Linked DNA regions of Caenorhabditis elegans. The protein of the gene in region 1 interacts with the protein of each later gene in a biochemical or structural test. Each region holds a gene or a part of one and is shown on either strand. Other genes may lie near its edges. The genes, in order: cap-1 and unc-78.

The links.
Region 2: the proteins of cap-1 (region 1) and unc-78 form a complex in vitro, tested with the Caenorhabditis elegans proteins (one study listed by BioGRID).

The regions. Positions count from the first base shown.
Region 1 is NC_003282.8:7,227,781-7,232,139, reverse strand, and holds cap-1 (F-actin-capping protein subunit alpha), read left to right. Parts: upstream 1-1,916; 5' UTR 1,917-1,917; coding exon 1,918-1,998; intron 1,999-2,110; coding exon 2,111-2,236; intron 2,237-2,290; coding exon 2,291-2,731; intron 2,732-2,895; coding exon 2,896-3,060; intron 3,061-3,401; coding exon 3,402-3,437; 3' UTR 3,438-3,718; downstream 3,719-4,359. Other genes in the region: D2024.4 (DUF19 domain-containing protein), read right to left, coding at 1-12, 60-233, 533-728, 787-892; D2024.5 (Mid2 domain-containing protein), read left to right, coding at 3,834-3,957, 4,002-4,116, 4,161-4,286, 4,336-4,359. UniProt on the Caenorhabditis elegans protein: F-actin-capping proteins bind in a Ca(2+)-independent manner to the fast growing ends of actin filaments (barbed end) thereby blocking the exchange of subunits at these ends.
Region 2 is NC_003284.9:3,408,132-3,413,404, reverse strand, and holds unc-78 (Actin-interacting protein 1), read left to right. Parts: upstream 1-1,789; 5' UTR 1,790-1,790; coding exon 1,791-1,863; intron 1,864-2,258; coding exon 2,259-2,737; intron 2,738-3,165; coding exon 3,166-3,658; intron 3,659-3,700; coding exon 3,701-4,197; exon of another isoform or gene 4,198-4,245; coding exon 4,246-4,432; intron 4,433-4,479; coding exon 4,480-4,586; 3' UTR 4,587-4,731; downstream 4,732-5,273. Other genes in the region: putative oxidoreductase dhs-27, read left to right, coding at 96-257, 304-429; vit-5 (Vitellogenin-5), read right to left, coding at 4,850-5,109, 5,162-5,273. UniProt on the Caenorhabditis elegans protein: Induces disassembly of actin filaments in conjunction with ADF/cofilin family proteins. Regulator of actin organization in myofibrils.

The DNA.
Region 1 (4,359 bases):
GAGCAGAATTTACTGAAAAGCCAATTCCTATTGTTAGTTTATATAAATTGCAAACCAACCATGTAGTTTTACCACCGAGCATCTCTCTCAATTGGGAGTTATAACTCTCTGGACACCATTGAGATGGACTAGTTACGTTTGCACAAATGCTCTCAACTCCACGAAGATTTTGAATCGCGTCTTCTGATTTGCAGGGAACGTTTTGGCCAAGTTGCATAAATGCTTCAATGTATCTAGAAGAAAGAATGTACCATTTTTTTTTTCTATTAGACTGTTATCGGCATTGCTTTACTTTGACGGTTTAGTTTATCGAAAAAAAATGTTTTCACTAATAAAGTAAAGAAAACTATGTTATAAGTGTGTTCAGTTCGCACTTTTCATGAAACCAAAAAACCCGGGAAACCCCCGTCGAAGAGGTGTAAAGAGGTGCAAGTTTAATAGGGAAAAATACGGAATCTATTACGATTTTAAGAGATTTGCAGGATTCAATTTTACGAATGAACTCCAGTCTTAAGTTTCAGCTCTAACTTACGGATTCTCGATAGGTCTCAGCATCTTAAAGCTGACTTTAACTCTATAGCATCCAGGGAAATCAATTTGGCGAGTTTCTCCATTAATATCAGTAATTGTTACTTCATCTTTTTCTTCATCTTCTTCCTCTGGATTATCATTCTTCAACATTTTCATTGTGATCTTCAACGAGCTCTCGTCAATAACATCGGAATCCACTAAACTTGGTTGTAAATTAATTGTAAAACCATTTAATTTTTATTTAAAAGAACAAACCATTCGGACAACTTTGTGTGACATTTTCTCTAACTTGAATGTGAACTTTTCGGCATGTTGCCAGTGCTAAAACAGTTAGGAGTAGTATGAGGAATCTGAATAACATCTTTGAATATTCTGAATTGTCTAACAATTTTCTTTTATAGCATTTTCAGTTGATCGTGATCATCTTGACCTAGTTATTCGAACAACTAGAATATAGCAAATCCGTTGTTGCCGGACTATTATTAGAAGAAGAGGAAGCGAACACTTTCCGAAAAAAGAGTGGAATTGTTTGCATTATGAACAACGTTTTTAAAACATTTAACCGGAATTTTTTAGATCCAAAGTTTTTTATTCAGATTAAACAATTTAATTGATCAATTCTGAACTATTATTTCAAGTTTGAAGCTTAGCGTTTTCTGGTTCATCAATTTGATTTTGCAGTTTAAGAAGCAGAGGAAGGGAATTCCCGAAAAAAATGCATTGTTTGTTTTATGAACAACGTTTCTATATAAGTCGCATTGATTGAAAGATTGCAATGTTCAAATTTCGGTTTTTTTTCTTGGACTGAAATCTACCGTACCACTTCCAAAATTTCGTGTTTCTCGAATTATATTTCAGACGCAAATAATTAATATTTCTCGTAGCACAGGTTATTCTTGGCTTTTCGACATAATTTTCTTTCAAATTTTCATTGACATGCTCTCAAATTTCAAAGATTTTCTTCTCTAGAAATGCTCTCACATCTAGTACATATTCTCTCTTCCAGCGAATTTTTCACAAATTTTAAGTGTAAATAATGTAATTGAATTCTGAACATGGTTCAAATGCTTTTTATTTTATAGACTATTTATTACTCATTTTTTATAACTGCTTTAGTGTGCTTTCTTTTTCGCTGAAGAATAAAAAACATTTCAAACTAAATATCTCAAGTAATCTCTATCCACTTTCCGTGTGGTGTCTCTCGAAAACGCAAGCGCGCTCTACGGCTAAAATCGATGCGCTCATTTCTCTGTTTGTGATTCATTTTTGTTCACTCTTTTATTCAATGAATCACCACTTTTATTTTGTCAATCTTTATTTCTTTTTAGTTATTTGATAGAAATATATTTTTAAAATGTTTATAAGCATAACTCTTTCTCGTTCAGAATGTCGGAGATCAGTGACGCCGAAAAGGTCCGCATTGCTTCGGATTTCATTAAACACGCGCCACCCGGCGAGTTCAACGAGGTAATTTTTTGTCGATTTTTAGGAGAATTGCTCGTTCAAGCTTGATATTATAGTCATCAAAAAATTTATATTTCGCAATTCACTTCAATTGTCAATTTACCTTTCCATTCAGGTATTCAATTCGGTTCGGATGCTTTTGGAAAATGATGATCTTCTGAAGAACAAATGTGTTAATGCTATCGCTCAATATAACGTTGGACAATTTGTGCCAGTAAAGTTGGATGGTGTTGCCAAGCAGGTATACTATTTTCATTTTTTAAACTTTCTTCAAATATTTAATTATTTTCTTCAGACTCTGATCACTCCATACAATGATTTGGGTAATGGACGTTTCTACGATGAAGTTTCAAAGAAAAGTTTCAAATACGATCACGTCCGTAAAGAGGCCGCAGATCTTCAACCACATCCAGCCGAGTCTGGAATAACCGAACAATGGCGTCAAGCTCTTCAAACTCAACTCGATATATATATTGATGATCATTACGCGAAAAGTGGAACGGGAGTGGTTTTTGCTCGAAACGGAGTTTTCACGATTTGCATCGAATCTCATCAATTCCAGCCAAAAAATTTCTGTAACGGAAGATGGCGTTCGGAGTGGAATGTGCCGGTTGGCGATGGTAAATCAGGATCTCAGGAGATGAAAGGAAAAATTTTGTCGCAAGTTCATTATTACGAAGACGGAAACGTGCAGTTGTTCTCTGAGAAAGAGCCGGTTCTTAAAGTCAATGTTTCGGTAAATTTTTTTTTCCATAAATTGATCCAATTTAGAAGGATAGAAAAAAAAGTTTTTCATAAAATTGTGAAGAACAAAATAAAATCACAGGAATCATTTAAATTATATTTTTCATAGAGCTATTTAATCGAATTAAAAATTGGCATATAAAGCCCTATTTTCAGGCTGACTTCGACAAAACCGCCAAAGAAATAATTCATGCCATTTCCGAGGAAGAGACTATATATCAGAATGCTGTACAAGAGAATTACGCTAATATGTCTGATACCACATTCAAAGCACTTCGTCGCCAATTGCCAGTTACTCGCGCTAAGATGGACTGGAATAAGGTATCGTAATTTCACAATATTTCGGAATGCCTTCGGAAAAGTGCACAGATTTATTCAGATGGGTCTCGGTGTTTCTTATTTTTCTGTTAACAAATGCTTCGAATCAGTTTTATATCCCTTGTCATGCAGACACAATAAAAAATAATTGTGATTTGAAAACTAATTTAAAAAGAATTTTAACAGAAACAAGAGATGAAGCCGACAAAATTCTCTAAATGCGAAGTAATTTCTTTGAAAAAGATTAAGCAAGGGCTACCATAATAAATCTGTGCGCCTCTACAAAGGCATGTCAAAATTTTCAGAATTGATAAAATAAAAAGAATAAATTAATTTTAATTCAGGCTCAAACCTACCGAATTGGTCAGGAAATGAAGTAATCACAAAATCGTTATCACATCGCTTTGCTTCAAGTTCGTCTGCTGGTCTTCATCATCTTCCTAATCCTCTCCAAAAACCAAAAAATCCTCCAATTTCGACCTTTATTTCTCCCACTTTCCTTTATCCTTTGGCCGGACACTAGACGTGCTTTACAACATAATACCCTTCGTTTGCTCCGCTGCTTCTTTTTTCATGATTTGATAATTTGTATCATCTATGTATCTAATTTTATTGTATGGTATGATTCATTTTTCAATTATATATTATTTGTGTGTGTGTGATTAAGAATTTTCGAGATATTTTCTGATTTTAGAAAGGTCGCGCACCTTTTGATATATATTTAAACGAATTAGCTAAATAGTTAATATGTGTTCGTTTAATTGAAGAAAATTCAGATGCAAAACCTCACTGAGGTTCTCAATGCGACTTTATTGAGCAACTTGTCAGATTTGGTATCATCGACAAGTACGGTATCAACCAGCACGACTACAACTACCACGACGGAAATTCCATTGACTAGTAAGCTTTCAGAAACATATTTCTAAGATTACACATTTTTTCAGCATCTTTTCCTCCAAGTGATCATACAACTGCAACGTCGATCGCCTTCATTTCCTTGGTAGTTTTTGGAGTAGCATGTGCTCTCATTGCGAAAATTGTGATAAGCCATAAGAAAAAGTGAGTATCCTTTCGATTTATAAAACATTTATTCTCAATTTTAGGAGAGCTGAATTAATCGGATCAGCACGATGGAGAATTTCTGCTTCAAGACAAAGCGCATCTTCGGCTTCTAGTGGCGGAATGGGCCAAAATTCTTCAGCCACTTATCTTCCCATGGGCCGTGGAGGGTATATAAGCAATTATTATTTTAATTATTTCACATTTTGAAACTTTAAGAAACAATCGCTCACTGAACAATCA
Region 2 (5,273 bases), on another chromosome or scaffold:
TTCAATTTATTGTTAAACGTATTGTATTTTAACTCAAAATCTTTCTTCACAAACTTTAAAAAAAAACTCAAGTGTAAGTTTATTCATTTTTCCAGTGTCTCATTCCAATGCTCGTTGCTACCAAGGTCGCCTCGTATGAAGCTGAAGAAGCGAACAATATCTTCGTTGTCACCCCTGAAAACTTTGCCAAACAAGCTGTCAGAATTATCGGGACTAATTGGGAAATCACAACGGGCTGTGTGCAACATGATGTTCAGGTAAAATCAATGGTGTCTTAGTGGTCTGAATATTGCAAAATTTCAGGTTGCCCTTGGAACATTGTTCTCCTTTTGGTTTTTCAAAGTACTTTTCGTCCCTGTTGTTATGCTCGGAGTTCATAAGCATCGTGTTGCCTCTTATCAAGCGAAGAACTCGAGAAAGAATAATTAGAGTTTTTATCATTTCACGTTTATCCATTTTCGTTCATTTTTATCATGATTTTTTTTTATTGAATGCTATTTTTCAGATAAAAAAGTTTTCGTGTGAACTTAATTTTTTAGAATCTTTTTTTTAAAGTTGATCACCGATTGAAGCTTTTTTTGCCAGAAAAAACATTTCAAATTTTTCCCACTGGCCATACTCCACAGAATTGCTGCACACACTTGAATCCTGCAAATATGTTGGCTCTAGAGAAAGAAAAACAGTTTTAAAAAATTAAATATACAAATTTTTATGATCTACTTGTTTTTCGAATATTCCTATTGAAACATCTCGAGAAGCCAAGTTGTCAGCAATTTTTTATAAGCTTTTAGTATGTAGTTTGGATTGTAGTACTCTTTATTCAAAAATACTTTTGGACTTAAATAATAACATGTCTTTTTTATATTAATGAATATATTGATATTGAAAATTTAGCTCTTCCGGTGACTCACGGGGAATCATATTCTAGTTTGCACAAATTCATACGAGAAAAGTAGAAAAGGGAGGAAAAAAATCGTTTTTTGTTGCGATAAGGCTATAGTTCGCTTAGTCAGCCCCTCCTTAACGTGTATGCAACATGAATCACATGTGCTTGGTGAGTTGTCTCATCGAGAAAATGTTTCATTTCTCATTCGAAAAGTTATTGCAAAACCCGACCAATTTTCTTCTTATTTTGTTTTGTTTCGACATGTTGTTCGAGAAAAAAAAACGTGTTTTTCACCCAAAGCTTCCCCCGCAGGTTTATCGATTTTTCCAGTGACGGCTAATAATAAAAAAAGCGGTCGATGAGCAACGAGGAGTTTACAGCCGATCCTCTGTTTGCGTGAACCTCCGTTTCTCGATTGTCGAGTGATGATGGGAATCGCCGAGTCGCAGATTGAAAAACACGTCTTGCTGTCGAATGCTTTCCACCCGGCGAGCCGGCGGGCCCCGTTTTCTATTGACCTCCTCTTTCTCACAACAATAACACTTATTCACTTTTTTCACGTCACAAATAACTATCGCATTGTTCTTCGTTATCAACAAAAATAGATCGACCAAATTAATAATTTTTTCTTAGAAAAAAAAAAGAAAATTTCAATTATAAAATTCCGTCGAAAAACTTATATATTTCAAGCAAAGAAAACAGTTGTTCAATCTTTGCGGCCTAGGAAACCCCATCTCGGCCGCGCGCACTGTTTGTTAGTGACCAGTGACCGCTGTCCTTCCGCACCCTCATTAGTTCCTCACCCGCTGTCGTCACTATTTCTTCTCAATGCTCTCGTTTGATTTTATTGATTTTCTTCCTTCGATCTTTTGGATTCCTGCTCAATTTTTACAATTTTTGCAGAATGTCGGAATTCTCTCAAACCGCATTGTTCCCGTCTTTGCCTCGCACTGCTAGAGGAACTGCCGTAGTTCTCGGTGAGTTTTTATATTTTTAATTGCACGGTGATTTTACTATTTAATACTAGAAATTGAAGCCGTATGGCTGCATTATATTTTAATATGGCTGCAATACTAATTTTCAGATAAATTGTTTCTTTAAAATAATTAGTCTTCACTTGCAAAAGTAGAAAATTCTGAAAATTCATATTGCGCAACATATTTAAAGTATTTCGTAGCGAAAACCACATTGATCCTTTAAAAAACTACTGTAGCGCTTGTTGTTACTGTAGTTTTTTTGTCAATTGTGCGAAAAATAGTAAAAATCATTGATGAAATATTTAAGTATTAGTGAGACGCTTTGGCAACAGAAAAAGTGCAAAGTGAAACGGTTAATAGGAAAGCTAAATCACGTTTTACAAAAATACTTCCAGGCAACACCCCCGCTGGAGACAAGATTCAATATTGTAACGGAACATCGGTTTATACTGTACCAGTTGGAAGCCTAACCGACACCGAAATCTACACTGAGCATTCTCACCAAACGACTGTCGCCAAGACAAGCCCAAGTGGTTATTATTGTGCTTCTGGTGATGTTCATGGAAATGTTCGTATCTGGGACACAACTCAAACCACCCACATTCTGAAAACTACTATTCCGGTGTTCTCTGGACCAGTGAAGGATATTTCGTGGGATAGCGAAAGTAAGAGAATTGCCGCCGTTGGAGAAGGCAGAGAACGTTTCGGTCATGTTTTCTTGTTTGACACTGGAACGTCTAATGGAAATCTTACCGGACAAGCTCGCGCTATGAACAGCGTCGACTTCAAGCCATCACGCCCATTCCGCATTATCTCTGGATCTGATGATAATACAGTGGCGATTTTTGAAGGACCACCATTCAAATTTAAAAGTGTAAGTGATTGTAATATTGGATTAGTTTTTGAAAATTCTCCACAAAGGTTCCGCTTAAAGTATTTCGAAATACTACATGTTATTCTATTAGGTTTGTGTTAAGTTGTATTTTTTAATTCCAAAAAAGATAATTTCGCGTGAGCTTTTCGCTGAAGTTTCATGCTTTTTATTTGATAAAACATTAAAAAAAACACTGAGCGAACTTTTTTTTCAGAAACTATCAACAAATAATGTAGAAAAAAACCTGAACGTATGCGTGAATTTTTAATACTACCGGAATGCAAACATCTTTTCAGTAGCTTATTGTCAGTGCAACTCTAACAGAGATTTAATTTTGATAGAAGGAAACTTGTTTTAAATGACTCGAGTGTTCCAAATACGTTTTCAGACAAAAAACCAGTTTCAAATTTATTTTCCAATTTTTCCAGACTTTCGGAGAACATACGAAATTCGTCCACTCTGTGCGCTACAACCCTGATGGCTCTCTGTTCGCCTCGACTGGAGGAGATGGAACCATTGTGTTATACAACGGAGTTGATGGAACAAAAACCGGAGTCTTTGAAGATGACTCTTTGAAAAATGTCGCTCATTCTGGATCTGTGTTTGGCCTTACCTGGAGCCCGGATGGTACAAAAATCGCATCGGCTTCTGCTGATAAGACCATTAAAATTTGGAATGTGGCTACATTAAAGGTTGAAAAGACTATTCCCGTTGGAACTAGAATTGAAGATCAACAACTTGGAATCATTTGGACCAAGCAGGCTCTTGTGTCTATCTCTGCTAATGGATTTATCAATTTTGTCAATCCAGAATTGGGAAGTATCGATCAGGTTAGATACGGACACAACAAGGCGATTACTGCACTTAGCAGCAGCGCTGATGGAAAAACTCTTTTCAGTGCTGATGCTGAAGGACATATTAGTGAGTAGTTTCAGTGCTTCGAAATTTAAAACTTGTTTTCAGACTCCTGGGATATTTCCACAGGAATATCAAACCGCGTGTTTCCGGATGTTCACGCCACAATGATCACCGGAATCAAGACAACCAGCAAGGGTGATTTGTTCACCGTCAGTTGGGATGATCATCTGAAGGTTGTTCCTGCCGGAGGTTCTGGAGTCGATTCTTCCAAAGCTGTTGCCAACAAATTATCTTCGCAACCTCTCGGTCTCGCCGTTTCCGCAGATGGAGATATTGCAGTTGCTGCTTGCTATAAGCATATTGCAATTTACTCTCATGGAAAGCTCACGGAAGTACCAATTAGCTACAATTCTTCCTGTGTGGCATTATCGAACGATAAGCAATTTGTTGCTGTTGGTGGACAAGACTCGAAGGTCCATGTGTACAAACTCTCTGGAGCAAGTGTCTCTGAAGTTAAAACAATTGTCCATCCTGCTGAAATCACATCTGTCGCATTTTCGAATAATGGAGCTTTCCTCGTGGCAACCGATCAATCACGAAAGGTTAGTTTTTGAAAAAAAATCATTTCTATTATAGATTTCAAAATTCAGGTTATCCCGTACTCTGTTGCGAACAACTTCGAGCTAGCTCACACAAACTCCTGGACTTTCCATACCGCCAAGGTTGCATGTGTTTCCTGGTCACCGGACAATGTCCGTTTGGCGACCGGTTCCTTGGATAACAGCGTTATTGTATGGAACATGAACAAACCATCTGATCATCCGATCATCATTAAAGGTAAATATTTCTCTATTAATTTAACACATTTAACAACATTTTTATAGGTGCTCATGCTATGTCGTCTGTCAATTCGGTAATTTGGCTCAACGAAACTACAATTGTGTCGGCCGGACAAGATTCGAATATCAAGTTCTGGAATGTACCTTTTTAAGTCGAGAAGCTTTTTGATTGCCCTCTAAGTATCCTTAAAATTATATTGATTTTCATAATTATCACTAATTTTCGTGTTTACTGCAAGCACTATCATCTCCTTCGAAGCCTTAAATACACGCGTAAATAAAAACTATTGGTGCAAAGCTGTGTTTCGATTGACATCCTTACAACATGTGTATTTGTTTTCTAGAAGTGATGAGAAAAAAAATCATTCTAGTGAAAATGCTTTATTTAATAGAAAATTAATAAAACATATGAAATCTAATAGGCAACGCAGGCGGTTGGGATCTTGACAGACTCAACGAAGGAGACTGGGAAATCGACCAACTCGGCAACAGTTTGCTCACGAGCTTCCTTCAAGAAACGACGAGCGTTCTTGCTGTGGCGTGGCATGCAAGTGAAACGGATCTTCTTGTTGGAAGTCTTCTCGGATTCGAGTCCACGGCGGCACTCAGAGACTGGCTCGATGGAGAAGCAGACGCGGTTGGAGAACTCCTTGATGAGGGTCTTCTTGACGAGTTCTGAAAAATATGTATTTTGTTAAAACTACACATCATTCAGCCTTAGACTAACCCTTCTCAGTTTCCTTCTCATCGTAGTTGCTCTCGTAGTCGGAGCTGCTCTCGTAGTCGGACTTCTTCTCTTCTCTGTTCCATTTGTTTCTGTAGTTCTTCTTCTCGGAGAT